Linked DNA regions of Callithrix jacchus. The protein of the gene in region 1 binds, or shares a complex with, the protein of each later gene. Links are inferred from orthologs where the notes say so. Each region holds a gene or a part of one and is shown on either strand. Other genes may lie near its edges.

What was found.
Region 2: the proteins of GNB1 (region 1) and GRK2 are in contact, whole or in part, in a crystal structure (PDB 5UKL), measured with the Homo sapiens proteins. The link is inferred for Callithrix jacchus from reciprocal best matches to the Homo sapiens genes GNB1 and GRK2. Residues at the interface, in NP_001269468.1 of Homo sapiens: Leu55, Ala56, Lys57, Tyr59, Ala60, Gln75, Asp76, Gly77, Lys78, Pro94, Leu95, Arg96, Ser97, Ser98, Trp99, Val100, Met101, Leu117, Tyr145, Ser147, Asp186, Met188, Cys204, Asp228, Asn230, Asp246, Ile270, Cys271, Asp290, Phe292; in NP_001610.2 of Homo sapiens: Tyr553, Gly556, Lys557, Asp558, Phe584, Pro585, Asn586, Arg587, Glu589, Pro597, Gln598, Leu600, Thr602, Glu604, Ala654, Leu657, Val658, Val661, Pro662, Lys663, Met664, Lys665, Asn666, Lys667, Arg669, Pro671.
Region 3: the proteins of GNB1 (region 1) and ADGRD1 are in contact, whole or in part, in a cryo-EM structure (PDB 7EPT), measured with the Homo sapiens proteins. The link is inferred for Callithrix jacchus from reciprocal best matches to the Homo sapiens genes GNB1 and ADGRD1. Residues at the interface, in NP_001269468.1 of Homo sapiens: Arg52, Asp291, Val307, Ala309, Gly310, His311, Asp312, Asp333, Phe335; in NP_942122.2 of Homo sapiens: Ser593, Val594, Ser595, Arg598, His819, Lys822, Val823, Leu826.
Region 4: the proteins of GNB1 (region 1) and CHRM2 are in contact, whole or in part, in a cryo-EM structure (PDB 7T96), measured with the Homo sapiens proteins. The link is inferred for Callithrix jacchus from reciprocal best matches to the Homo sapiens genes GNB1 and CHRM2. Residues at the interface, in NP_001269468.1 of Homo sapiens: His54, Leu55, Asp312, Asp333, Ser334, Phe335; in NP_000730.1 of Homo sapiens: Val50, Asn51, Arg52, His453.
Region 5: the proteins of GNB1 (region 1) and GPR21 are in contact, whole or in part, in a cryo-EM structure (PDB 8HJ1), measured with the Homo sapiens proteins. The link is inferred for Callithrix jacchus from reciprocal best matches to the Homo sapiens genes GNB1 and GPR21. Residues at the interface, in NP_001269468.1 of Homo sapiens: Gln44, Arg46, Thr50, Arg52, Ala309, Gly310, His311, Asp312, Asp333, Phe335, Lys337; in NP_005285.1 of Homo sapiens: Pro57, Leu58, His61, Arg313, Arg317, Thr324.
Region 6: the proteins of GNB1 (region 1) and GNGT1 are in contact, whole or in part, in a cryo-EM structure (PDB 7L0P), measured with the Homo sapiens proteins. The link is inferred for Callithrix jacchus from reciprocal best matches to the Homo sapiens genes GNB1 and GNGT1. Residues at the interface, in NP_001269468.1 of Homo sapiens: Leu30, Ile33, Thr34, Ile37, Val40, Ile43, Met45, Arg48, Arg49, Trp63, Ser84, Tyr85, Thr86, Phe235, Pro236, Asn237, Asp254, Arg256, Ala257, Gln259, Leu261, Ser279, Lys280, Ser281, Gly282, Arg283, Leu284, Leu300, Asp323, Gly324; in NP_001316355.1 of Homo sapiens: Met31, Val33, Lys35, Cys36, Cys37, Glu39, Val40, Arg41, Tyr43, Val44, Arg47, Ser48, Asp51, Pro52, Leu53, Val54, Ile57, Asn62, Pro63, Phe64, Lys65, Glu66, Leu67.
Region 7: the proteins of GNB1 (region 1) and FFAR2 are in contact, whole or in part, in a cryo-EM structure (PDB 9CM7), measured with the Homo sapiens proteins. The link is inferred for Callithrix jacchus from reciprocal best matches to the Homo sapiens genes GNB1 and FFAR2. Residues at the interface, in NP_001269468.1 of Homo sapiens: Arg52, His54, Leu55, Asp312, Ser334, Phe335; in NP_001357016.1 of Homo sapiens: Arg37, Gln38, Pro39, Gln40.

The regions. Positions count from the first base shown.
Region 1 is NC_133508.1:39,872,569-39,876,068, reverse strand, and holds part of GNB1 (guanine nucleotide-binding protein G(I)/G(S)/G(T) subunit beta-1), read left to right. Parts: intron 1-706; coding exon 707-869; intron 870-3,500. UniProt on the Homo sapiens protein: Guanine nucleotide-binding proteins (G proteins) are involved as a modulator or transducer in various transmembrane signaling systems.
Region 2 is NC_133511.1:124,351,234-124,355,290, reverse strand, and holds the start of GRK2 (beta-adrenergic receptor kinase 1), read right to left. Parts: upstream 2,801-4,057; 5' UTR 2,492-2,800; coding exon 2,379-2,491; intron 2,328-2,378; exon of another isoform or gene 2,204-2,327; intron 1-2,203. UniProt on the Homo sapiens protein: Specifically phosphorylates the agonist-occupied form of the beta-adrenergic and closely related receptors, probably inducing a desensitization of them. Key regulator of LPAR1 signaling.
Region 3 is NC_133510.1:134,171,724-134,175,926, reverse strand, and holds the start of ADGRD1 (adhesion G-protein coupled receptor D1), read right to left. Parts: upstream 2,801-4,203; 5' UTR 2,213-2,800; coding exon 2,147-2,212; intron 2,055-2,146; coding exon 2,018-2,054; intron 1-2,017. UniProt on the Homo sapiens protein: Adhesion G-protein coupled receptor (aGPCR) for androgen hormone 5alpha-dihydrotestosterone (5alpha-DHT), also named 17beta-hydroxy-5alpha-androstan-3-one, the most potent hormone among androgens. Also activated by methenolone drug.
Region 4 is NC_133512.1:110,275,304-110,278,803, forward strand, and holds part of CHRM2 (muscarinic acetylcholine receptor M2), read right to left. Parts: coding exon 2,294-3,500; 3' UTR 1-2,293. UniProt on the Homo sapiens protein: The muscarinic acetylcholine receptor mediates various cellular responses, including inhibition of adenylate cyclase, breakdown of phosphoinositides and modulation of potassium channels through the action of G proteins.
Region 5 is NC_133502.1:171,660,013-171,664,043, forward strand, and holds the start of GPR21 (putative G-protein coupled receptor 21), read left to right. Parts: upstream 1-1,231; 5' UTR 1,232-1,305; intron 1,306-1,735; exon of another isoform or gene 1,736-1,829; 5' UTR 1,830-2,131; coding exon 2,132-3,181; 3' UTR 3,182-4,031. UniProt on the Homo sapiens protein: Orphan receptor.
Region 6 is NC_133512.1:55,719,082-55,723,100, forward strand, and holds the start of GNGT1 (guanine nucleotide-binding protein G(T) subunit gamma-T1), read right to left. Parts: upstream 2,801-4,019; 5' UTR 2,723-2,800; intron 2,632-2,722; exon of another isoform or gene 2,629-2,631; 5' UTR 2,621-2,628; coding exon 2,525-2,620; intron 1-2,524. UniProt on the Homo sapiens protein: Guanine nucleotide-binding proteins (G proteins) are involved as a modulator or transducer in various transmembrane signaling systems.
Region 7 is NC_133523.1:31,675,739-31,679,865, reverse strand, and holds FFAR2 (free fatty acid receptor 2), read right to left. Parts: upstream 2,801-4,127; 5' UTR 2,800-2,800; coding exon 1,810-2,799; 3' UTR 433-1,809; downstream 1-432. UniProt on the Homo sapiens protein: G protein-coupled receptor that is activated by a major product of dietary fiber digestion, the short chain fatty acids (SCFAs), and that plays a role in the regulation of whole-body energy homeostasis and in intestinal immunity.

The DNA.
Region 1 (3,500 bases):
TACAGGCGCCTACCACCACACCTGGCTAATTCTTGTATTTTATTACAGACCATGTTGGCCAGGCTGGTCTCGAACTCCTAACCTCAGGTGATCTGCCTGCCTCAGCTTCCCAAAGTGCTGGGATTATAGTCGTGAGCCACCGGGCCTGGACTGTTTTGTTTTCTTTTGAGACGGAGTCTCGCTCTGTTGCCAGGCTAGACTACAGTGGCGTGATCTCGGCTCACTGCAACCTCTGTGATTCTCCTGCCTCAGCCTCTCTAGTAGCCAGGACTATAGGCATATGCGCCACAGTGTTTTGCCATGTTGGCCAGGCTGGTCTCAAACACCTGACCTCAGGTGATTTGCCTGCCTCGGCCTTCCAAAGTTCTGGGATTACAGGCGTGAGTGACTGTGCCCGGCCTAATAGTGCAGTCTTGATGAGTTGGCAGTGCTACTGTTAAGTCCCCACCTAATCGTAAGTTGTGACTTTAGTAGAATTGTGGATTTTGTGGATTGAATTTGCATTCCCATGTGCAGCACTGGACTTCTCATTAATTTTTGCTTCACCTAAGTGACCACACATGGGAATTACTCTCTAGATAATTTTGGCTCTTATTTTGTTCTGTTACCTCCTATGCAATGAAAGTTGAAGATGAGAATATCCTAGAATCAGTGTTACTGTTTTTGAACATAGAAGTTTTTGTATCATCTCTGTTTCTGTCATTAGGTCCACGCCATCCCTCTGCGCTCCTCCTGGGTCATGACCTGTGCATATGCCCCTTCTGGGAACTATGTGGCCTGTGGTGGCCTGGATAACATTTGCTCCATTTACAATCTGAAAACTCGTGAAGGGAACGTGCGTGTGAGTCGTGAGCTGGCAGGACACACAGGTACCCATCCTTATTCATAACCTTCAAGTGACACTTGCTGTTTACCTGGTGTACATTATATGCTTTGGATACTCAGCTTTTATCAATTAGGGATTTTTAATTTTTTGGGGAGGGGACAGAGTCTTGGTGTGTCATCAGGCTGGAGTGGAGTGGCATGATCTCAGCTCACTGCAGTCTCCAACTCCTGGGTTCAAGCAATTCTCCTGCCTCAGCCTCCCAAGTAGCTGGGACTACAGGCACCCACCACCACACCTGGCTAATGTTTATATTTTTAGTGAAGATGGGATTTCACTATGTTGGCTAGGCTGGTCTTGAACTCCTGACCTTGTGGTCCGCTCACCTTGGCTTCCCAAAGTGTTGGGATTACAGGCGTGAGCCATGGCACCCAGCCTTATTAATCATTAGTAATGAGACTGGTTCAAATAAAAGTTATAGTAATGACCAGAAGTTTTCTGAAAATGAAACTGAAAACAGGCCTGATACGCCTTTACCAGTAAGAAACCTGTGGATTTGTGCTGGGCATGGTGGCTCATGCCTGTAATTGTAACACCCTGGGAGGCCAAGGTAGGAGGATAGGTTGGAGCCAGAAGTTTGAGACTAACTGGGGCAACAAAGCTAGACCCCATCTCTACAAAAAATAAAAAACTTAGCCAGGCGCAGTGGTGCACGCCTATGGTCCCAGCTCCTCTGGAGGATCGCCTGAGCCTGGGTGGTTGAAGCTGCAGGGAGGTATGATTGCACAACTGCACTCTAGCCTGGGCGAGAGTGAGACCCTGTTTCTGCAAATGAGGCAGATTAGAGCTCTTTGGCCATAAGTGCTGGGTAGTCCGTTATCTCACCAAGGTTTTGTTTGCTTGTGACACTAATTCATCACAGAGGGCATACAATTGCAGAAAGAGGGCATCCTATTCTAATATTTTACCTCTCTGGCTGTATTATCTGTTCTCAGAAATTTTATGCCCCAGTACCTTTTGGTAACACTTCACCAGGCTCACTCACTTCACTTGGAACCAAAGAAATACATTCACGGAGTCACTAGTACTGCTTTTGACACCCATTAAGCAGTCTGTTAAATAAGTTAATATTGGCCAGATCACAGTTTTCCTTGTCCTTTGGAAGATACACTGCCTGTTTTTGTTGATTTCTGTTCTGTGTTCTTTCCTGCCTTCTGCTTGCTTTGGAGTTGCTTTCTTAATTTTCCAGCTGCTTAAAGTAGATCTGTAGGCCACTGGTTTTAGACCCTTTTTCCTTTTCAAATATAGTAACTTTAAAAGTTTTAAATTTCCCTCTAAGCATGGCTTTAGCTGCATCACACACATTTTTTTAATGTCTTTTTTTTTTTTTTTAAATAAGATGGAGTCTCCCTCTGTCACCCAGGCTGGAGTGGTATGATCTCGGCTCACTGAAACCTTTGTCCACTGGGTTCAAGTGATTCTCCTGCCTCAGACTCCCGAGGAGCTGATATTACAGACGTGCGCCACCACTTCCGGCCAATTTTTGTATTTTTAGTAGAGACTGGGTTTTGCCATGTTGGTCAGGCTAGTCTTGAACTCTTGACCTCAAGTGATCCACCTGCCTTGGTATCCCAAAGTGCAGGGATTATAGGTGTGAGCCACCACACCTGGCCTGACCTTTATTCTTGAAGGGTATTTTTGCTGGATATATAGAGTTATGGGTTAAAAAAATAATAATTATAGGTTGACTTTTTTTAAATTTATATATTTTTAGCAATCTAAAGATTTGGTTTTTAGCAGTTTTGCACATGATGTGCCTCGGTGTGATTTTTCTTTGCCTTTATTGTGTTTTGGCATCTTTAATTTATCAGTTTGTCTTTCACCAAATTTGGGAAGTTTTAGACCATGTCTTCAAATGCATCCTCTGTCTTTAGTCCCCGTCCCTCTGCACTGCAATACACACACATCTGTGCTGTGCCTGCAGTCCAGGGGCTGGGCTTGTTCATCACTTTCCACTTCTTCAGATTTGTTCCTTTGTTGTTGTTAGCCCCGCTTACTTGCTTTTAACCTTTTTATTTCCACTCAAGCTCATGTACTTGTTATCTCTGATAAACTAAATAAGGCTATGCAGCAGAATATTTATGTCAGGCATTGCTTCTGCAGTTCTAGAATTTCTATTGTTTTTATTCTATTGCTTTTATTTAAAAATTCTTTTTATTTTCCTGCTGAGACTCCCTGTCCTTGTATAATAGCATGTTTTATTTTGTATCCAAAAGGAGAGTCCTATCACTGCCTTTAGAGTTCTTGTCTGCTGATCCCAGCCTCTCATCTCATCTTCCTGAGGCTGGTCCTTGTGGATCTCTTCTCTGGAGTCTGAGTGACATTTTGCTATTATTTAGTACATGTAGTAATTTCATATTGTATTCTGGACATTGTAAATGTTGTGTCATAGAGACTTTGGGTCTGATTACAATTCTCCAGAAATAACTATTTAGTTTTGTGTATCAGGCAGCCTGTATCTTTCTTGTGTGGCAGCAACAGAAACCGGGTTCAGCTTTTCTGCCCTAGTTGGGCTGCATGCCTGTGCACTTCAGGTGTCAGGTGTCAGCCATGTATGTGGTTTGGGGCTCCCTTTCTGTGGCTTTCTTCTTTCTAGTTTTTATCCTCTTACTTTCTG
Region 2 (4,057 bases), on another chromosome or scaffold:
GGCAAACGTGAGACACGGCAGGATCACCTTCCCGGGTGGGGGAGCCTCTGCAACCCCTGGGTATGCAAGGCATTACGAAAAGGGTGGCCTGCCTCCAATGCCCCAGCCCTGGAGCCCCAGGCAGGGCAGCCCGCAGCCCTTCCCAGGCCTCAGCATACTGACATTTGGAACTAGTGGATGTGGGCAATATGCCGAAAGCCATGCTGCTGATGGTGACCCAATGTGAAATCTAGGCTGCCCGGCTCGGCCTCCTGCTGTCCTCCTAGAATCCCAACTGATCTTGTTTCTGTTCAGGACTGCATGGGGCATCACACAGTCCTGGTATTTCTTGAGCAACTACCACATGCCAGGCATCACCTTGCCAGCTTCACAGGTTGGTTGTTGGCTGAATTGAGATGACAGATGTCAAAATAAGCAAGTCAGTAATAATTCCTATCATTATTGCTATCACCGTCATCACTACCATGGACAGGCAAGGGGACAGGGAAAGAACATCTCATTTCTCAGGGTTCCAACACCTGCAGAGCCAAGCCAAGGCGGCGCCCCATCTGAAGCAATGCATTCTGGGGAGAGATCACCCGAAGGCAGACAGTTCCAGAAAAGGCCCCGCCTCACACGTTGCAGAACTCCATCCTGCAGGGGGATCTCGAGGCTGCGGCCACCAAGGAGAGCCGTTTCGAGCCCTAGAGGCTGACTCCCCCGTTTCCTCCCTCGTGGCGCTGTCATTTCTGAACTCGTTTCTGTACTAACTGTCACTGCTCCCTGGACAGCCCCCAGCTGACAGTCAGTCTGGTTCCTGTTTTGAGAAATCTGATTGTAAATGTCTTAGAAAAAAATAAAGGCCCTAACGGCCTTTTCAAAATGCAGACCAATTTTCCTCTCTCAGGCTTGATGTTCAGGCAATCTGAACACCGGTGAGCAGGGCATGGCAGAGGGGGCCAGTGAAGGCCATAGGCATGGCAGCCCTGCAGTGTCAGCTGGGGCTGAGATGGCTGCTTCAAAGGCCGAGGGACACCGCAGAGTCACAGCTCTTATTTCACGCCATCCACATTTCACAGATGAGAAGACCAAGGCCCAGTGCGGGAAGGGTAGGTCATAAGATAAGACCCAGAGTCACACGATAAGACCACAGCAGTGTGGACAGGCCCCAGTGGGCACCAGGAGGCTAACTGTCAAGCATGCACAAGGAGTTGCCACACGACACAAGGAATCGTGGCGGGCACATCTGCTCCCTGGCACAGGCCAGAGGAGCCAATGAAATGTAGAACCGGAAGTCTGAAGCCCTGATCTGTTGGCCAGATGCTACCTGGGACTACCTGTGTGACTCTGGACAGGCTACTCACCTCTGGATCTTCAGTTTCCCCACCTGTTCCACAGGGACAAAAGCCACACCTGTCCTCCCTACCCCATGAGCTGCTGAGAGGCTCACACAGTGGAGACTCTATCAGCCATAAAATGCTGGACAAACCGCAGCAATCGTCCACATCCTGTGTACTTTTGCAACTACATCCTGAACAGTCTAAACTTTGATACCAGGTGTGATGTCAGTTGACTTACAGAGAGGTGGCAGCTAAGGTCCAGCTGTTGCAGGTGTGCTGGGAGGGTCCCTGGTTAACAGCACCCACAGGGCACCATATGCAGGGCCCGCCAGAGAAGGAATGTGGGGGAGAGGGCACAGGGGATGTTTCCCCCACCTGAGCGCAGTCTGAGGGGGTGGGTGCCCGCAGCACCCCAGGTCCTGCACACCACGCCGCCCTGAAAGCACTCTCAAGCCCAACTCCAGGACAGCGACCCCACCAGAGGGTGGGAGAAGAGTCCGGAAGACTGGCTGTCCCCCCACACCTCACATAAGTGTAGATAGGAGAGACGGGTGGGGGTAGTAGAAACCCCAAGGCGGGTGCCCGGGAACAGGGACAGCAAAAGGGTGGATGACATGGTCAGGCGAGGTAAATGGTGGCCGGCGGAGGGGAGAGGACCCCACAGGGACCAAGGGCTGCTAGGAGGATGAAGGGGTGCACCGGGTCCCTGTGGGAGAAGGCGGGAGCGAGAGGCTGACAGCGACCGGCGGGGCGGGGGGCCGACGGAGCGCGATAAGGAGGCAGCAGGGCGGCCTGGGGTATCCGAGGGGATCCGGGGGCCGATGGGGCAGAAGAGCTCAGGAGTCGGGGCGCTCTAGGCTCAGGCGCCAGGGTCTGGGGCTTACGGTCTGGATCCGCAGGCGCCAAGGCCACGCTGCTCCGGGCTGGGAGGCCGACAGGGGGTCTCGAGGACCGGCCTCGGGAGTCCGGGTCGCGGGGTCGAGCGCGGGGTCCCTGGTCTGGGGCCGCGTCCGGGGCGCCCGTGGGGTCCGGCTGGGGCCGTGGGCGGCTTCTCCTCACCTGGGCTCGGGCAGCAGGATCTTCTTGCTGGCGCGCGCGGCCGGTGTGGCCTTGCTCTTCTCCATGGCCATCAGGTAGCTCACGTCGGCCAGCACCGCCTCCAGGTCCGCCATCTTGGCGGCGGCGCTGCCTCCTCCCGCCGCCGCCGCCGCCGCCGCCGCCGCCGCCGCTCCCGCTCGCTCGGCGCTCGGCCCGGCCCGGCCGCGGCTCGCTCGGCCTCGGGCGCCGCCGCCTCCCTCCTGGCCCCACTCGGCGCCCGCGGCTCCACTCGCCGCCGCTCACAGGCGGCGCCGCCCCATGGCGCCGGCTCGGGCCCGGCCCCGGCTTGCGCTCCGCTCCCGCCGGGACTGCAGTCGGGGCGCCGCCGCCACCGCCGCCCGCGCGCCCGCGCCCCGGAGCCGCTGCCGCCTCCGGCCCCGCCTGCCGCGCACAGCGCCAGCGAGCCCGCTAGGGCCCGAGCCGGGCGGGCGGCGGCGCCCCCTGGAGGCCGCGCGGAGCCTGACCCCGAACCAGACCTGAGACCGCGGGCTCAGCCCCTGGCCTTGACCGCGGCCCTGGATGCTGGGCGGCGACCCGGGCCTGGAACACGACAGGGACCCGGCACCGAAGACGACCCCAGACCCACTCCCTGACCATAACCTCGGGTCACATCTCTGGATTCCAGGCTCCCCAATCAGGCCGTGGCCCTGACACCAGATGTGGATCACAAGGACCCTGGACGCTCACCGAGACACAGATTCAGACCTTGGAACACGATCCCAGGGCTTCCATCTCAGACCCTGGCTTTAACCCCGTACTCCCTGGCCTTGGACGCAGTCACGACCTAACACCAGACTCCAGACTCAAACTTGGCCCACCACCTCAGACTCCGACCATGACCTCATGTCACAGCCCTGGGTCTCCAACGCCATACTCAGACTGTGACACTCACTCCAGATTCCCAACAGGTCCCAGATCCAGATTTTGGACCATGACCTCGGTCCCATCCTGGTTACTGACCCCAACCTTGATTCTGACTCCAGGCCACTACCATGACCCTGAACCTAGACTTGGGGTCAGGCTTCAGACCTAGACTTGGACTACCAACTCCAGACCACTGTCCTAGACCCAACACCCAGAACTGTGGACACGGACTCAGGACTAGGACATCCAACCTGGGGCCCACACGGGACCCAGAATCCTTAGTAGGTCGCCCAGAACCTGGAACCTGACAACTGCATTCCAGTTACAGGCTTCCCCCATCCCCCGTCCCACCCCTCCTACTCCAGAACCAATCCTGGCCCAGGAGGCACACTCAGGATCAAGGACCCTGCACCCAACCTCACCCCCCAACCGGCTCGTAGACCCAGGTCCCTGGCCAGCATGCTTGGCAGCTCCCTTCCCTGTACCCAATCCCTTCCAGATGCTCCTTCATGATTGTTCCACATGTGGGGTAAAACCTCTCCCAGCTGTGGAGGGCACAGAGGTTTCACTGTGGGGAAACCTGGCAGGGAAAAACCACCCTGCTGAGAGTCCACCCAGAGTGGGGAAAGCCAAGTGTCTCAAGGCAGCATTCATATTTCAACATGCCCCTCTCTCAACTCCCTCTCTGCTTTCCAAGTGACAGGACCCTTTTCCCAGCCCTGAGCACATAGAGCTCAAATCTCATAACCAGTGTGCAGACTAGCACCCAGGATCTT
Region 3 (4,203 bases), on another chromosome or scaffold:
TCATAAGCAGAAGTCCAGGGAGTGCCCATATAGCTTTTCTGCAACACTGAGCATCAGTGAGAGCCATGCTGAGGCCATGGGGGCCACCTGCCTCCTGCAGGACCAGTGTACGCAGCTCTGCCTGACCACCCTGCAGTTAGAGGGGCCGCCTCTCCCCTCCTCTCAAGCCAGGAGGCCTGCATTCATGAAAAGCGAGGCGCCCATGGCGGACATGTCCTCTCTTTAACACAGCACTGGGCATGCTTACTCATTCCCAAGCCACAGGAGCCCTTGTTTCTTTCTTTCTCACAGTTTCCATACCCTTTTAAAAGGGGCTCCCTATGTGTGTGGACGAAAGAGAAGTGGCAGCATCCCCATCCCCGAGCTGGTGAATGGAGGTGGTGACAACGCCTGGAACATCCTGGCTTGGGCCATCAGGCAGCCGGAAAGGAGGCAGAGGCTGAGGGCACAACACCTATCCCCAGACCCCAGCAGGCTCCTGGTGCTCCACCCAGAAAGGGGGCTCTCCCTGGAGGCCTGGCCAGCACCCTGGGATCTTCCCACAGTGCTGGCCTGAGTCCATTTGTGGTTATTAAAGGCTAGTTCCCGGCCAGGCGCAGTGGCTCACATCTGTAATCCCAACACTTTGGGAGGCCGAGATGGGTGGATCACCCAAAGTCAGGAGTTTGAGACCAGCCTGGCCAACATGGCAAAACCCTGTGTCTACTAAACATACAAAAATCAGCTGGGCGTGGTGGCATGGGCCTGTAATCCCAGCGGCTTGGGAGGCTGAGGCATGAGAATTGCTGGAACCTGGGAGGTGGAGGTAGGAGTGAGCTGGGACTGAGATCGCACCACTGAACTCCAGCCTGTGCGACAGAGTGAGACTTTGTCTCAAAAAAAGAAAAATAATAATAATAATAAAAATAAGTTTTAAAAAAGGCTGTTCCCCATCAAAAGGGGCAGGGCCATGCGATAGTGCATGGAGCTGGGCGGGGGCAGAGGCTGTGCTCACAGCAGGCTTCCCCACAGGGGTTCAGGCACCAGCAGGGTCTCCTCCCACCTCCTGCAGCTTCCAGCAGGGAGCAACAGCCCAGCTTGACCCTGTTGTGCCCAGAAAGCCTCATCTCCCACCCCTGCCAGCAGGGAGCAACAGCCCAGCTTGACCCTGTCGTGCCCAGAAAGCCTCGTCTCCCACTCCTGCCCTGGCTGACCGGAACATGCGCCCACACTCTTGACAGCAAAGGGCGTGTGCCTCCGTCTTCCCAGGAGAAGCCCCATCCTGATGCTACCTGATTGGGCATCACAATGGCCAAAGGAAGCTGGCTCCGGGGCAGGAGCAAGGGTGGCCCTCTGTCCTGAGCCCCACTCGTGGGCTGCTCCAGCCTAAGTCGCCCAGCACTCTGAGGCTGGAGGTCTCGGGACCCTGCTATGAGCCAGAGCTCCAGGCCCCTACAGTGACTCTGCCCCAAAGACATGCAATGGCACAGTGGCTCCCGCCTATCATCCCAGCACTCTGGGAGGCCAAGGCAAGCGGATCACCTGAAATCAGGAGTTCAAGACCAGCCTGGCCAACATGGTAAAACCCTGTCTCTACTAACAATACCAAAATTAGCTGAGCGTGGTGGTGTACACCTGTGATCCCAGCTACTTGGGAGGCTGAGGCAGGAGAATTGCTTGAACCGGGAGGTGGAGGTTGCAGCCACTGCACTGCAGCCTGGGCAATAGAGCAAGACTCCATTTCTTTAAGAAGGAGACAGAAGGCATTTAAGCAAAGAGATCACACTTCCTTAACCACAAGGTTTCATATGACCCCGCTAAGGGGCCACAAAGTTGCTTCTCTGTCCACCACTCAGCCGGTGAGGGGTAACAGAGCTGCCCAGGGTCAGAGCTTGTGGCAGGGCAGTGAGGTCGGGGACCAGGAGCCCAACAAGGGCCATCCGCTGATGCCTCAGAGATTAACAAGTAGGCTGTTCCCAGGATACCCGCACCAGGCAGGGGGAGAGCACAGTGCAGAGTGAGAAGGAAACACTCTTACCTGGATGGTCCTGAGATCTGGCATAGACACCATGCACCTGCACACAAAAGACCACGGTGTGAGACACGCTCAGGGAAAGCGCCTGGAAAAATCGAGCCCACCTCCCTCCCGGCCACTTAGGGACGCTACCTGAAGACTGTAGTAAAACAGCAGCAGCCGGGGGTACCAGCAGCACAGCCACAACAGCTTGGCCATGGCGTTTTCGGAAGTCAGAGCTCGGAGCCGAGCGAAATTCCTGAGGGTCTGTGAGAACGGGACCTCTTAACCTTCACTTCCTTGGAAAAGGGACATTTTCACAGGTTCCAGGGGGAGAAAAAGTTCTATTTCCTTAAAGGTTGTGAAACACAGCTGTCTTGGAGACCTAATAGGTGTTTCCTCCTTGTCCCAAAACTTGCGATTCTTCAGTGATCGATAAACACGCTGCAATGAGCAGAGCAGCTGTGGAATGCAGGGAGGAGAAAAGAGAGTCCAACTCGCAGTCCCGGGAAAGCGATCTCAGGTCACCACTGTGCCCACGACCTCCACCCGTGGACGGGAGGCTGTTTGTCCTGTGATATTTTCTTTTAATTTCAAGAGCTTCTGTTTGTCCGGGTCAGGTTTGGAGCTGCCCTTTCCTCTGAAGAAGGCTTTGTGCGCGATTTTCCCCTGGAGCTCCCGCCTGCTCCTCGGGCTTGTCCTGCACCCGCTCTCGAGCTCCCGAGCTCCTTCTGGTCTGGCTCAAGTTCACACCTCCGTCCTGCTCCCTGAATGGAGAGGGAGTGAGTGATGTAAGTCTCTCTCCTCAAACTTTGTTCTGTTCTCCTTCTCTATTTATAACCCCACTGCTGTGTCCTTCCTGGGTCCTAACTCTAGCCTGTTAAGAACAATTGAAATATTTTCAGGATCTCAGGCTCAGAAGCAAACCACGCAGACATGGTGCGTGTGTATTACTGGTTCTTCTGGCACTTCACAGTCAGCATTAATATTAATAAATACAAAATGCAAAACAGACCATAAACTCTGTTTACAGCTAAGTCCTGTTTGCCCAAAAAAAGAATAAAGTTGATGGATGAATGGATGGAAAAGAAAAACCAGCACACCCACTGTGCCCTCCATATTAAGCGCTGACCACATTTTTCTCTTTAATCTTCTCGGACGTCAGTGAAAGCTATGCAATCAATTACAAGGTAAGCTACACAATTATCACGTACCACGGATCCCTCCACCCCAGCACCAGAAGGATGTTCTCAATGGGATAGAAAAGAGTCAGCCCCTTTGCCACAGCCGTGCCTCGGTTTACCCAAGACCAAAGTTTATCCGCTCTATTCCAAATACACGTGTACACACAGAGAGACACACACCCTATAATTACAATCACAGCTATATTTGCTATGGGATTTAGGTAATATTTACCTCTTCATACTTTCTCCAACATTCACTAGCTGTGCTCTTAGGAAATTACTTAATCTCTCTGTTTTGAATTCCTCATCCTCGAAATGGGGTTAATGGTTCCTCCCCCTCAAGGCTGTAACAAGAAATTAGAGGCCAGATCCAAGGCAGAACTTGGAAAATATGTGGCACTCGATAAATGTTGCTATTTTTTATTAAGAAAAATGATCACTCAGTAAATGTTAGCTACGATTATTACTAGCAGGTATAGCGCACCCAATAAATGTTAGCTGATAGGGTTATCTCAATTGTCCTGACTTTACATGGGAATTAATAACCCTAAATCCAACATACTTCCTAAAGAGGATAAGAACATGACTTCCAATCTCTGTGAGATAGAAAAAAAGAAAGCGTTGTCAAAACGTTAGCTGATTATTTTTAACTTGTGCCTGCAGCCTACAACCAATCAGATGCTCTGATAGGCTGAGCCTCTCCGTGGAGCTGGAGAAGGGTTCCAGAGAGTTCCATCTCCTAGCACTGGAGAAAACGCAACTCCAGAGGCCCGGGGCCGTCTGTAATAACGACCTTTATCCTGTCGCCCAGGCTGGTCTGCTTCAGGGAAAAGGAATTTACAGCCTTTATCTCGGTTTCCTCAGCTCCCCAGTCCCCGCTGCCTCTTGCTGGAAAGAGGTGAAGGGAGGGACAGGCGGTTGCAGATTTTTCTCAGCCCCAGTTTTTTTTTTTGTTTTTTTTTTGAGACGGAGTTTCGCTCTTGTTACCCAGGCTGGAGTGCAATGTTGTGATCTCGGCTCACCGCA
Region 4 (3,500 bases), on another chromosome or scaffold:
AAGGGTTCTTCCCAACTGAAGCGGAATCTACATTACCAAAATACAATAAATTAAAAAGGGAAATATTTGGCCAGACAATTCTCTGTCTTTCAGAAAGTCGAGGAGCCCATTGTCTTGATGTTATTTCCACTCAATTGATTCACTCATTTGAAGAAACAATGTGAACATAAATACAAATTTAAATCTAAAAGTTCATGTTGAAGTAACTGTAGGTAAGAGAATCTATAAACAGATGCTGTCGGTTTAAATATGGAAGATTACTTTGGGGGTTAATGATTGAAGTTATTTAAATAGGAAAATGTTTTTATGAAGGATAATCAAATATAAATACTGCTATCATTTTGCTTCTTACTAACTGACAACTTTTTTTGTCATTTTTTTCCTTGTGCTTTTCCCCCCTTAATTCTCCAAATTGTTGAAGTGACATCAATGAGGCCAATCATTCAAAATAACTCTTATAAGTGCTAGGTCTAATATTGACAAATTTATCAGGAAACTAACATTCATACTACTGGACAAGATATCATAAATCTAAAATCCAAAATATGAAATTTGAAAATACATTTATAATTTGATTCCTATCGAGTGAGACATTTTTAGAAAATCTCATTGGAAAACTACAGCAAATCGTGTAAGAAAAATATAAAGGATAAAAATAACTAGTTATATGTGAATCAGTATAATCCTAATCCTATATTTATTTGGACTACCAAATAAAAAGTTTCCACATGGCAAGATTCTATATAATGCTACCACTTAGATAATAGTTACTGACATGATTGTTATGGTCTGGAATTAGATGGTGAGACGTGGCATGGCAACAGCCACCTACAATCCTTCTGTCAGATTCTGTGAGCTCGTTTGGCCTCTATTTAGTTAGCCACTACATTTCTGTCACAAAGATTACTATAATTCTATTGATAAGAGAATTTTGAAGCTAAATAATGTTAGGGAGAATTGACAATTTAAGGAATATGTAATTGTATTTAAGATCTCTTTTTTCCCCCTTTTACTGGGTCATAGAAAATTGCAGACGAGCTCACTTGATTATAATTTGAATATCGTCCTTTAGCAGGCATGGGATAGAGGGTCCTATTCTCTAGGGACTGACCCAGAAATCATTGGTGCTAAGTGAGTATATCAATGCTGTTCAGGATTCCAACGAAATAAAACAGTATCCCTTTCTGCTGACCAAGTCAGGAGTTGATTTTCTATAAGTTAACATTTCATACACAGGTCAGGCAGATTCAGGTTGAAATAGAATGTCCTAAACTTCTAATTTTTAATCTTAAAATTCATCTGATTTTAATAAACTTTTTCCAACTAGATTGGCCATTATTTAACTTGATGAAACATCGATTTTACAATGACTTTGGGTTCTTCAACATGTTTATGCTTTAGGTAGGATATTCTGTTGAAATAAAAGACTATTTGGGAGAAAATCAGATTGGTTTAAACATTTTGCATATCAGATCATAAGTGTACTAAATCCTTATAGGCCTCGATACCCCCAACGAATGCAAAGGACACAGTGAGGAGGGGTGAAATGTCCATTTTCATGGCTGTTTCTGGCTGGACTTAGTGAAAGTCTTGTAGGTTTTGCCTATAAACAGTATAGAACAGGGATGTACAAAATAATGGCATAACAAGAAGCAAAGTGGTGTGACCTAGTTTGGTTTTTTGTTTGTTTGCTTTCTTTTCATGGTGGGAAAAAGAAAGGCAAAAAATAAACATTTATTACATTGCAATCCTCTAAATAGAACCGTAACAAAAGAATAAAATAGGCTTAACACTCCGGAGACAATTTCTGCATCCTTCTTTGATTTTCTTTCTTTACCTCCCTATTGTATAGTGCCTATTTCTTTGTGTTTAAATCTCCATGTTTACCTTTTAACTGGGGCATTTCCTTCTCTTAAGGACACATGAGAACAACAACAACAAAAGAAACAAAAAAGGAACAAGGTTATTCCTCTTGTGCAGAGACGGTCAAAATTGTAGATTCAGAAGCCCTTCTTCAAGAGAGTATGAGAAAGAGTAGATCGTTCCTTAAATCCACAACCCCAACATGTTTCTTTCATTGTCTCATTGCTCCTAATACTCACAGTTTATAAGGTGCAATTTTTGCAAACTGGAGCCTAGGCGTGATAAGTATGTCACTGCTGGGCTCCTGAATTGCACGTTTTGTAATCAGAGTATAAAGTGCAATGTCAGAGATTTGAAAACCAGGAGCTCTTTTATCCCTTTTATTCTTCTCAAGCTCCCCTTGCCCACTTCTTTCTTTTTCAAAGATGTTTTACCTTGTAGCGCCTATGTTCTTATAATGACACATGAGAAGGTGTTTAAAGGTCTTCTTGAAGGTGGCATTACAAAGTGCATAGCAGGCGGGGTTGATAGTGCTATTGATGTAACAAAGCCAGTAACCAATTGTCCACACAGTGTTGGGGATGCAAGGTGCACAAAAGGTGTTGATGAGCACCATGACATTGTACGGGGCCCAAGTGATGATGAAAGCCAACAGAATAGCCAAGATTGTCCTGGTGACTTTCTTTTCCCGGGAAGGAGGAGGCTTCTTTTTTGCAGGCTGCTTAGTCATCTTCACAATCTTGCGGGCTACAATGTTCTGCTTTTCATCTCCGTTCTGACCTGAAGACCCCACTACCTCCACGGTGGTATTGGTTGGGGTACATGAGTCACTTTTTTGGGTCTTGGTGCCAATTTTGATGCAGGTTTGCTTAGAGTTTTCATCTTTGGAATGGCTCAGGGAAGTGGAAACTGTGTTTTCATCCTGGGTTATTTCATCATCTCTCATGTTAGAGGCAACAGCACTGACTGAGGTGGAGTCATTGGAGCTCTCTTTCTCCTCTCCCTGAACACAGTTTTCCGTCACAGCATCTCTGGGGGCTTTGCCATTCTGGATTTTGTTGTGCTCCAGGCCATCGTCACGGCTGGGCATGTTGTTATTGTTTGGCTTCACTATCCTTCCTTGTACGAGACTTGGAGAAACAGGGTCTTGGTTGGCCACAGGCTCCTTCTTGTCCTTCTTTATCCTGCTCTTGCTGGCTCGGGATATGTGCCAATATAGCACAGTCATGATGATCACTGGCAAATAGAAGGCTGCAATGGCCGTGCCAAAGGTGACAGCAGCATTGGAAAAAAACTGAATGTAGCACTCCCCATCCTCCACAGTTCTCACCCCTACAATGAACTGCCAGAAGAGAATGGCCGGAGCCCAGAGGATGAAAGAGAGGACCCAGGCAGCTGCAATCATCATACCTGCCATTTTTGTGGTCCGCTTGACTGGGTAGGTCAGAGGTTTTGTGACACAGAAGTACCTGTCAAAGCTGATGATGAGCAGATTCATAACTGAGGCATTGCTGACCACATAGTCCAGGGCTAGCCAAAGGTCACACACCACAGGTCCCAAAGGCCAGTAGCCAATCACAGTGTAGAGGGTGTACAAGTTCATGGAGAAAACACCTATGATAAGGTCAGCGCAGGCC
Region 5 (4,031 bases), on another chromosome or scaffold:
AAGACCTGTCAAATATTACTATCAGGCTTATGCTTAAGTAGGTTTTTATTTTGGCATCATGGCTGCATCTGGGACTGGCCAGACAGCTGCTGCTGCTTCGGATTTAAAATGTAATTCATTGCATTCTGATTATGGGTGCCCATTTATCTGTAATAAGAAAATGTGTATAAAATGAGTAAAAACGAAAGTTGGATCACATGTTTTTGCTCAGGTGCATACCTTTTGGAATGCTTTCAAACACCAACATTTGTTTATTGTCTCAGAGATCCCTGGAGGAAAAGATACTAAAATTACACATTTTCATAGCATTCTATTAGCTGAAAATTGTCAACATTTATGACATTACCAGGAAAACCACAATCTAATCCCAGTTTGCATTGTTTTAAGTAGGCAGAAACAAGATTGTATATTCTAAGATACAAAGGCTTATTTGTGCCATGAAACTTCCTGTAATATTCATGCCTGAATAGAAGAAGGTACATTTTCTTTTTTGTCTTTTATTTATATTCTTGTATACTGCTCAGCAAAATCGAAGCAAGAAACAGCGTCTCAAAACTATAGGGTAGTGTCAAATACAGGAACGATGTAATTTCTCTGTGCTATTTCTGTAGTATTCAGAATAGGAGATACTTTATTTTTCTCTTGAAAAGTGATTTTAAAGTTTCTTGGCCAATATTCAGTGAATCATGAGAGACAAAATTAATGAATAGCCTTCTAGCTAGAACTTCTTGTACAGCTGAATTATGTTTCTCAGTTGCCATACGCCATACACTTAAAGGAAGTTAACATGCTTCCTTTCTTTAATATTGCTCTTTGTTCTTTGGGAAAATGCCGTAAGAAAATAGGAAGTACCCCTCTAGCAGTGTGTTTCAGTCTAATTACTGACACTGACACCCTGTTCTGTTACTACCCCTTCTCCTTGCTAGCAGCCTGAATTCTGCTTATCTACTAAAAGAGGGATTCCAAACAGACGAGGAAACAGCTTTCAAATGATATACTATAGGCGTACCAAGCTATTCCCACACTGCGCAGTCTGGAAATCAGGGGGCACCTCTTTGACGATGAATTCCAATTAGTTGCTAAAGATGCCAGTGTGTGTGCGTGTACAGGCGTTTTCTTTCCCCTCCCCCTTTCTTCCTTTTTCCAAGCCCCCTCTTCTCCCTGTTTCCCCTCCTACTCCTTTATCCCCTCCCTCTGTGTCTCAGTTCTGCAGTAGGCAGGGTTGAAGCACATTCCTGCTCTGCAAGGCTTTCTGTTAAGGATGTATTGTGGCTTTTGTTTGGATTGCAGCATGCAGAATTACAGGTAACATTCTGAAATTGAACTAAACAGTAAATTCTGTTGAAATGTTTTCAAAGAGGCAAAATATTATATTGGAATCAGTGAAGAAAATAAATTATCTTGGCTAATTTTATTAGTGATAAGTGTAGTGAAAGATTTTCATAAATGTTGCTAGCAAATTTCTTTTCTCTCCCATGTCTCAAATGAAAGGAAATGGGGGTAAATCAATCTAACCGTGATTCATTTTGTTTTATGCTGATCTTGAAAGCTTGATGTTGCTGCTGCTACTCTATACCGTACGGATCAGTTATATGGGGTGCTATTGTGGGTAGCCATGAATAGTGGTGCCGGTAGGGGTGGAGTGGGAGGGATGATGCCAGCCTGAGCTAGCCAGGTTCTTTGATTAGGGCATTGGATGTGAAATGTAAAATGCTCTCTCCTTTTCTTCTATCAGCTGTTCAGAGGAGACTCATTACAACTCCTGCTGAAGCTCCTAATCTTCTTCCCTTCTCTTCTGCCCTTTCCCCCTACCCTCACTTGGCCTGAAGACGTTGTCCCCAGAGTTTGCCTTACTCCCCTGGTGCTATGTGTATGATGAACTTGGCATTATGGCCGCGTTTGGAACTGGCCAGACAACTGCTGCTGGCTCTCCTTATTCCAAGAAGGATTTAAAGGGGAATTGCACTGCAGGCAATGCACCACAGCAGCAGCATCAGGAGCTTGGGGACTAAGGCTCCTCTGGCATTATTACATACATGCAAAGCTGACCGCAATGACAGCGGCTGCTCCTTTGAACTGTTGGAAGCAGCCAAGCGGCAGCATGAAGTGACAGATCACTCCAGAGCTCAAGATGAACTCCACCTTGGATGGTAATCAGAGCAGCCACCTTTTTTGCCTCTTGGCATTTGGCTATTTGGAAACTGTCAATTTTTGCCTTTTGGAAGTATTGATTATTGTCTTTCTAACTGTATTGATTATTTCTGGCAACATCATTGTGATTTTTGTATTTCACTGTGCACCTTTGTTGAACCATCACACCACAAGTTATTTTATCCAGACTATGGCATATGCTGACCTTTTTGTTGGGATGAGCTGCCTGGTCCCTTCTTTATCACTCCTCCATCACCCCCTTCCAGTAGAGGAGTCCTTGACTTGCCAGATATTTGGTTTCGTAGTATCAGTTCTGAAGAGCGTCTCCATGACTTCTCTGGCTTGTATCAGCATTGATAGATACATTGCCATTACTAAACCTTTAACCTATAATACCCTGGTTACACCCTGGAGACTACGCCTGTGTATATTCCTGATTTGGCTGTACTCGACCCTGGTCTTCCTGCCTTCCTTTTTCCACTGGGGCAAACCTGGATATCATGGAGATGTGTTTCAGTGGTGTGCAGAGTCCTGGCACACCGACTCCTACTTCACCCTGTTCATCGTGATGATGTTATATGCCCCAGCAGCCCTTATTGTCTGCTTCACCTATTTCAACATCTTCCGCATCTGCCAACAGCACACAGAGGAAATCAGCAAAAGGCAAGCCCGCTTCAGCAGCCAGAGTGGGGAGACTGGGGAAGTGCAGGCCTGTCCTGATAAGCGCTATGCCATGGTCCTATTCCGAATCACTAGTGTATTTTACATCCTCTGGTTGCCATATATCATCTACTTCTTGTTGGAAAGCTCCACTGGCCACAGCAATCGCTTCGCATCCTTCTTGACCACCTGGCTTGCTATTAGTAACAGTTTCTGCAACTGTGTCATTTATAGTCTCTCCAACAGTGTATTCCAAAGAGGACTAAAGCGCCTCTCAGGGGCCATGTGTACTTCTTGTGCAAGTCAGACCACAGCCAACGACCCTTACACGGTTAGAAGCAAAGGCCCTCTTAATGGATGTCATGTCTGAAGTGGCTCAGATACGGAGTTCCCCTGTGTATGTATGTGTTTTATCTCTAAGTATTTCTAATTCACTAGAAAATCTGGGACAGAATACTTTGACTCTAAGCAATAGCATACAAATGGTTTGTATGGATACCTTCTAAGTTTGTAGAAATGGTTTTCAAAAGTGCTTTTGAAGACTCAAGATCATGAAGACAAATTGCTCTTGGTTCCAATTTTTGAAATGTTTTGGAAATGACTACAGTTCTCAGATTTAAAATGAATAAAGCCATATCTAACACCTCTCTCCAGCTGGCATGACTGAACCTGGGTGTGAAAAGCATCAGCATTTTAAAAAGTCATCATTTTCTTGTCACTTTCTGGGTTCTTTCCAGCTATTTGGGCTTCATGTGCAATTGATTTCTTCTAACAGGGAGTAGTAAAACATAAATTAAGAAGTTTTAGAAATTACTTTTTATGTATACTAAAGTATAACTACACTGCAAGTTTCAACACTGTCATTTAGAAAGCCAAATGTTCTATATTTTATTCTCTTGAGAGAATTCTCAGTAGGGTGAATAATGTGAACATATAAACATTAATTTTAGAATTCTACAGTGAACCATGAAGCAAAAGTACAATCAACTTATACAGTTTATGAAAAACTGAGCTATTTTTTGTGCCATGCTTCACAGAGATCTAAAAATAAGTGTGCATAGAAGTGATCATGTTTGTAGTATTTTTGCCCATGCCTTTGTGTTATGTCTATATTTAGAATATCTGAATTGTTAGATTTCTCTTTTATAGCAAAATGTGTTTAAATAAGCTAAAAAGCAATTGATAGGCTGTTGGCTGTCGATTTTATACTGGTGACTATA
Region 6 (4,019 bases), on another chromosome or scaffold:
AAATGCCTAACAGGTGCCTGGCACAAAAAGATGCACAATCAAACGGTAGCTATTTTTAGCTATTACTGCAAAGATTGTCTCAAGTCATTGCCTATTACATTGACTTATAGGCATTGCAAATCTGTCAGCTTTAGAAACTGGATGCAAAGACTTGTCTTACTAAAAAAAATTGAAGTATAATATGAATCAGTCTCATTCACAGAATCAATAATAATAATTCTAAGATAATAATAATATAATGATATAATGCACTTGCTATTACTAGGCATTGTTATCAGAGCTTTGCATATATTATCTTGTTTATTCCTCCCAATTATCCTCTGAATTAGATGCTATTACTACTGCTGGTTTGAAGAAACAGAGGTACAGGTAAATTATAAAACATAGATAAAGGTTACACAGGCAGATAGTTGTTGTGGAGCAAGAATCTAGCTGGGAATATGGTTTCAGAGTATATCCAACTAACCATACTGTACTGATTATCCACTTAACCACTTACCCATACTGAGTATATCCACTTAACCATACTGTACCAATTGTACATCAGAGCTAGGTGATCAGGACCTGGAAGTTCCATTTTTAAATAGAATATGTATATTTATTATATATTATATAAATATTTCTATATATTACATATATTTCTACATATATATAATATTTATTTGGGAGGACACAAATATTCAACCTGATACATATATATGTGTATATATATGTATATATGTGTGTGTATATATGTATATATGTGTGTATATGTATATATATATGTGTGTGTGTATATATATGTATCAGGTTGAATATTTATTTCCTCCAAAAATTCATTTGTTGAATTCCTAACCCCCAAGGTGAGGTTTTTGGTAGGTGATCAGGTGATGAAGACAGAGCTCTCATAAACAGGATTACTGTCCTTATAAAGAGCCCCAAAGAGCTTCCTCACCCCTTTCACCAGGTGAAGACAAAGTGAAAAGACAGGTATTCATGAAGGAGGGATCAGGCCCTAGCTAGACACGGAATCTACTGGTGCCTTGATCTTTTATGCCCCAGCCTCCAGAACTGTGAGAAATACATTTCTGTTGGTTATAAGACACCGAGTCTATGGTATTCTGGTACAGCAGCCTGAACAGACTAAGAGAGTACATGTATATGTATATGTGTGTGTGTATATATATATATGTATGTGTGTTTGTACATGTATATATGGAGCTTTTGCAGTCTGCTATTAAATTGTTTTGATTTCCAAGAAAAGAGAGACACTGAATACTAGGAAAAAGGAACCCCAAATCCTGATAAATGGTGATGTATGTGATGTTTACCCAAAATAAAGAGTCCAAGGTGAACTTACCACAAGTGAATAATAAATATGAAGACAATCACTTTGCCTACAAAACAGCAATCCTGATAATAAAACAGCTTTTGGATATTTTGACTTAAGAAAACTTTCTTTATCCCAAAAGTTTATTTTATTTACTCTGAATTGTAAAAATAAGGACTTTAATTTGTTTGGTGTACATTCTAAGCTTTAGTACTGATTTAATTTTATCTTTACAGCAAAACATGTTTTGCCTGTATGGAAACAGTAACAGGAGAGTTTGAGATTATTATAAACATAGATGAAGCCAAAATACCAGTTTTGTGGGAGTAGGCATTTTGAACAAAGTATGAAGATAACACAAACTCCTTTTTTCTTTGTCCTGATAAAATGAGATGTTTTTAAAATGTAAGATATGTTGTTACCACTTGTGGAGGTTTTATTCTACTATTAATAACTTTCCTAAAATGAAGAGATCTAAAATGCACATCCACGTTCTCCAATAATTTGTCCCTGTTTGTTTAGTGGTTTATTCCTTTGCCATTTCTGCTCCTTCTACTGGCAGTGAACTGTAGGTAACCCTTTCCAAGATTTGTTAGGTGTTTTTAGGAGAAACCAGTAAGTTCTTATGTTTGAACTCATCTTAATTTGCCAAAGAAGAGTAGAATGTACTCATTTATTACTGACTGTAACAGTGCAGGAAGGGATGAAATCATAGCTTAAAGTATTGCAACAATATCAAAACATTCTATCAAAATATCCATATCAAAATATTGCACTACTAAGAGAGGTTTAGAAAAGTAAAAACAAAATGCCGGCATGTATTGCATGTGTGTATTCATTTTACTGCTCAGCTGAAATATGGTTCTGGCTCATGTTCTCCACTTTCTTTCTCTCTTCTTTTTTCTTTTCTTTCTTGCTCCTTTTTTTTTTAACAACTCCTTAAAAATATAAGAGCATTCCTATCTTAGTGGTCATACAAAATAAAGCTATGGATTGGGTTTAGCCATTAAAAAAAATTGTTTGCCAACCTCCTTGATTTAGAATCTAAATCAAGAGATGATTGTGATTTATTATTAATTTTCTTAATCTTTGATAATTTTTATATGAACAATTTAGTTATAACTACATTGAGCCTTTTCAGTCAATATTTTCTAACCTGGTATTCCCAAAGTATCTCTAGCTTAAAATAAAATTCTAAAGAAAGCAGTAACTTACTAGCATTCTTTCCAGTGTCACTTCTTTCTTGAGCTGGTCAACTTCCATCTTCAATTTGTCCTTCTCTGTCAGGTCCTCGATATTGATTACTGGCATCTTTCTGCCTGCTGAAAATGTAGAAGGTTAGTACCTATGCATGAATTGCTGGAGTTATTTCAAGTCAGTCTTAGCCAACACTTCACTCAGCTCTTAACTTACAAAGTAAACTGTTCTTTGTTTTATTTTAAATATCCCACAATAACCAATTTCTCATGAGCTCTCTCTCTTAACAATTCTAGCAATGCACACTAGCCTTGGGATTTTAAAGCTTCTTCCTAATCTTCACTAATATGATTAAGTCGGGCATTTGACCCTAGACACCTGTCAGTAGGTTTGTCGGGAGGGGTGTGTTTAGTCAGCATATAATTTAAAATACTTAAAGCTGCTCCTTGGCCCTGGGCTTTCGTACAGTGTAAAATTTGGGGTTTCCAATCCTTACCTTCAATTTCAAAACCCTTCACCATATGTTTCCTGTCATTTAACTTAGTTTGAGGTCATTTGGAGGATTGCCCACTAATTCCCTAAATCTCTAGAGTATTTAATCTGGTATTAAAAGGGAACCACATAAAAAGTATCACTATAAGTTCATTACAAATAATGGATTGAAATTTGTACCCATCAAATGGAAATATAATAAGCAAACAGACTTCTTAATCAGAAATAAATGAGTGTATTACTTAGAAGTGTTTTGCAGCAACACCTGGAATTTGCCTGTAACTGTCACAATGAATCAAGTAACAACAATGAGCAAATTTAGCAGGTTAAAGGGGACATAGCAAGTGTGATCTACCAATAGGCATCCTACTAGAAGAACAGACTCTTCTGCCCTCTTCACAATTCCTCTTCTCTCCAGTTAGACCAGTGGGTAATTGGGAAAAAGGCTCAGTAGCTGGTGAAATTACCTGGGAAAGATTTCAGTGTAGCCAAGTGGCATTGTGCCTATAGTGTCTCCTTCTTCTCCCTAGTCCAATTTTTATAATGAAGTATGATTGTAAAAGTAAGCATATTCAGATCACACACTGTTTCAGAGAACAACATAACATTGTACATGTACATAAAAATATTCTGCTAGTAATGTATCAGCAATTAACTATTTCCTTGTATTTAGATGGTGTTTTCATTTCCAAAACCTTAGAAGAAAGATTCTTTCCCTTTCCAGTCTTATAATACTCTGTTCTTCTCTGGATAAGTTTTCGTTTAAGATTATTTTTAAGGGACAAATGCCTACATAGGTCAACTATTTTCTAGAGGTAGAAAATAATACACCACGGGTACCTGAACCCAATGTTTCTTATGTTTTTATTTTTGCTATTCTGTTCTTTAAGAAACTATACAAAGGTTATTTCTTCCTGTATAATCCTGTTTTGTATTTGGGAGCCCAAATTTTAATCTCAAGTTCCTTCCCACTCCTTTAGACTAAATATAAAAGTTCATATTTTTTATCATCATTTTTACC
Region 7 (4,127 bases), on another chromosome or scaffold:
ATAAGACCCTGATCCACTATGTTGCCCAAGTGGGTCTCAAACTCCCAGGCTTAAGCGGTCCTGCTACCTCAGCCTCCCAAATTGCTGGGATTACAGGCAGGAGCCCTTGTACCCGGCCAAGGAAATATTTTGATGATAGGAGAGCTCTGCAGGTTTCTGAGCAGGAGGGTAACATGTTTTAAGCCCCTGTGGCAGAGAGACGACTGGGAGTCGGAATCACCCTGAATCCTTTCTAAGTCCAGACTCTATTCATCCCTCGAAACAGGCTCCTGTCAGTGCTCTCACTTCCTTTGCCCACACCACCTCTTTATCGTAAGATGTTTCTGTGGTTTCAGATGCATCACTTCCCCCCTTTAGTGCTGAATCTGGCTCTCTCTTTCATTTTATTTATTTATTTTTAAAATTTGTTTGTTTGTTTGTTTGTTTGTTTATTTATTGAGACTGGGTCTTGCTATGTTGCCCAGGCTGGAGTGCAGTGGCTATTCACAGGTGCAATCCCACTACTGATCAGCACAGGAGTTCTGACCTGCTCCATTTCCGGCCGGGGCCAGTTCACCCCTCCTTAGGCAACCTGGTGGTCCCTCACTCCCGGGAGGTTACCATAGTCATGCCGAACTTAGTGCGGATACCCAATCGGCATAGCGCACTACAGCCAAGAACTCCTGGGCTCAAGCGGTCCTCCCACCTCAGCCTCCTGAGCTCTCTCCCATTTTTGCCCTCCCTGTGCTTGCAGAAGTGTTACAAAAATTGTGGACACTCACTTAAGAGTTTTATCATCTTTATTTTCCATCTGCTAGACCAGGTTGCTTTCCCTTGTAAGAGGCAGTGCCAATTTCTGGTTGCTGGGTACCAACCCATGTCCTGGCCCATGTGGGGTACCATGGAGGAAGGAGATAAGACCCAGACCTCTGGCAGCTCCTAGTTTAGATGGGGAGACAAGATAACATGTGAAATCAAACAGAGCACACTGAAAAGGCAACAGGTCAGACCAATGCAGGGAAACTATCATTAAAGGTCTAAGCCCCGAGGCCTCCCTGCTCGTTTCCAGGCTCAGACCTTTCTGAGTCTTTTTTAACCTTGTTTAGTATTCTCTTCTATCTCTTTCCTGTTGGTTTATCTCCAGCATCAACTGCTACAGCGGTGTCTAGGTGTTGCTTTGAAGCTTGTATCAAGATGGTTATAGGACTCCCTGCTTTAGCCTGGCCACCCCCAACTACCAGCCACATCACAGGGACTGGACTCAAGTTAGCCACGCTGCTTTCCCAGCCTGAAAATCCTTTTTTTTTTTTTTTTTTTTTTGAGATGGAGTCTCGCTTAGTCACCAGGCTGGAGTGCAGTGGCACAATTTCCATTTACTGCAACCTCCGCCTCCTGGGTTCAAGCAGTTCTCCTTCCTCAGCCTCCCAAGTAGCTGGGATTGCATGCGCCACCATGCCCAGCTAATTTTTTGTATTTGTAGTAAAGATAGGGTTTTTCCCCATGTTGGCCAGGATGGTCTCAATCTCCTGACCTCCTGATCTGCCTGCCTCGGCCTCCCAAAGTGCTGGGATTACAGGCATGAGTCACCGTGCCCAGCCAGTGCTTCTACACCTAACTATTTCTTCTTGCATCTCTGAGCTATGCTCCTTTGAGTAGGAAAATTCTGTCAGGAAGGGATACCAAGCTAGTGAAAGGCTTTTGTTCAAAGTCCCAGTCCCAGACTGGGTCTGAGGATTTCTGAATCTGGACAGGAATCCTCCTGCTCCCCCTCTCCCAGCCTTTCCAGCTCCTGTGTAACCCAGGCCACCTTCTTCAGAGGTGTGAAGTCCACTACTCCGTAGTGAAGTCTGAACTCGGCATTCCCTCTCCCTGACTCACACCCCTGTCCCCATTTGTCCCTTCTGCTGTGTCTTTGCTTCTGCGTCCCAACAGGGAGGAGCCGTGATTCCGCAGCACCTGCAGCCCTCTACCAAATGCCCTGCGCACCACGGAAGAAGAGAAATAGAAGAGCAGAGGGTCCAGACTGGCGTTGAGTGAACTGAATACCACGGCAATTGTCCGCCACCAGGGGCTTTTCTTCTGGTAATACCCCACCAAGTGGGACACGTTGTAAGGTCCAAAGCACACCAGGAAATTGAGCAGCGTCACCACAGCCAGCCCCACGGCCCGGTGCCGCCTCTGGGCCCCCACATGGGGCTGGGAGAGCATGATCCGCACGAAACGCCAGTAGCAGAAGATGGTGACCACCATGGGGATGAAGAAGAGGACCAGGCACAGCTCCAGCCGCACGGGCAGCACTACCTTCAGCTGTTCGTCGGTGAAGTTCTCATAGCAGGTAATTTCATTGCCACTTTTGGCCTGCTCGGTTGTGTTCAAATACTGAACAACGATCACGATGGTGCAGTGACCAAAGGACATAATCCAGGCCACGAGGGCTGCAATCACTCCATACAGAGGCCGGCGGGACAGCTTGTACTGCACGGGGAAAGCCACTCCCAGATAGCGCTCGATGCTGATGCCCGCCAGCAGCCACGTGCTGCAGTAGATGCTGCTGTAAAAGCCAAAACCCACGAGAGCGCAGATGATCTCGGGCAGGTACCAGCGAAAGTTCGAGGCAGCCTCGATGATCTTGAAGGGCAGCAGCAGCAGCAGGAGGAGGTCGGCCAGCGTCAGGCTGAGCAAGAGGATGTGCACAGGTGCAGGCTGGGGCTGGCGGACCCGTCCCATGAAGGCCCGCAGGGCCAGGAGGTTGGCAGGGAAGCCAGTGAGGAAGATGATGATGTAAGCCGTGAGGGTCAAGGAGCTCTCCCAGTCCAGCATCCTGGAGGGGAATCAAAAAGGGCGGGGTCAAGGGGTCTCACTCACAGCCTGCTCTCTTTCAGGATGCAGACATCGTCCCCAGCACTGTCCCCTTCCCCGGACAGTGCTTTCTGATGCCACCACGGCTTGCTCACACCACCTGCTTGAACTGCCCAGAGCAATTGTTGACTTTGCCTGGGCGGGATATTAAGCAGTAGTGATTACGTTTGCCATCATGTGTCTCTGGGGGAGACCAACCTGTGGCTTCCCAAGGGAATTTCCCCTCCAGTTTCCCTAGCTTTTCTCCTCCTATCCTCACAGATACAGGAAGTTAGTGTTACCAGTTTCTAACTTTACTCAAGTCCCTTTCTCAGACAGAGACCTGCAGGAGAGAAAGGCATCAGTGTGGGCAGAGAGCTGTAAGATGCATGTCAGGATAACGAGGCTGTGGGGCCCCAGGCCTCGATGCCCAGTGCCAGCTCTCCACAGGACCCAGGTGCCCAGCTGCCAGCCCAGCTTCCTCCTTCCCTTCCTCTGTTTCGCAGAGCATAGATTCTCCCCCACCTTGTCCTCTGCTGCCCAACACCAAACTCTGGGACTCTCTAGAAAAGGGGAAGCTGGGGCCTGCCGCAGTGGCAGGCCTATAATCCCAGCACATTGGGAGGCTGAGGTGGGCAGATCACCTGAGTTCAGGAGTTCGAGACCAGCCTGGCCAATGTGGTGAAACCCCATCCCTACTACAAATAAAAAATGAAAAATTACCTGGGCAAGGTGGTGGGCACCTATAAACCTAGCTACTCAGGAGGCTGAGGCAGGAGAATCGCTTGAAACCAGGAGATGGAGGTTGCAGTGAATCAAGATCGTGTCATTGCACTCCAGCCTGGGTGACAAGAGGAAAAACTCCATCTAAAAAAAAAAAAGAGAGAGAGAGAGAAAAGAGAAAAGGGGAAGCTGGGAGGATTAGAGTGGGGTGGAGGGAGGAAGGCTTGTCCCCAGAAGACCTTGGAGAACAACATTCAGAAAAGCCCACAGGCCTTCACTGGCTCCTGAGCCTCGCACTCTGATCAGAAACAGAGCTCATCCTCTTCATGGGGTAACTCAGTTTCCACTTGGGGTGTCACACTTGCTAGCCCCCAACCCTGGTCCCATCCCTCCATCCACTCTCTAGCCTCGGTTTCCTGGCCGTTTCCTTGCCCCGCCCCACCCCCAACTGGCTCCTTTTCTCTCTGTTTGAGCCTTCCATTTGATTCTGACAGCCTTCCTTCAGACCCCCAGCACCATCCCCTCAAATCTCATCCTGGCCTCTCTTCCAAGAGCACAGGCATGACACTAGCTGCCTTGCCTTGTCT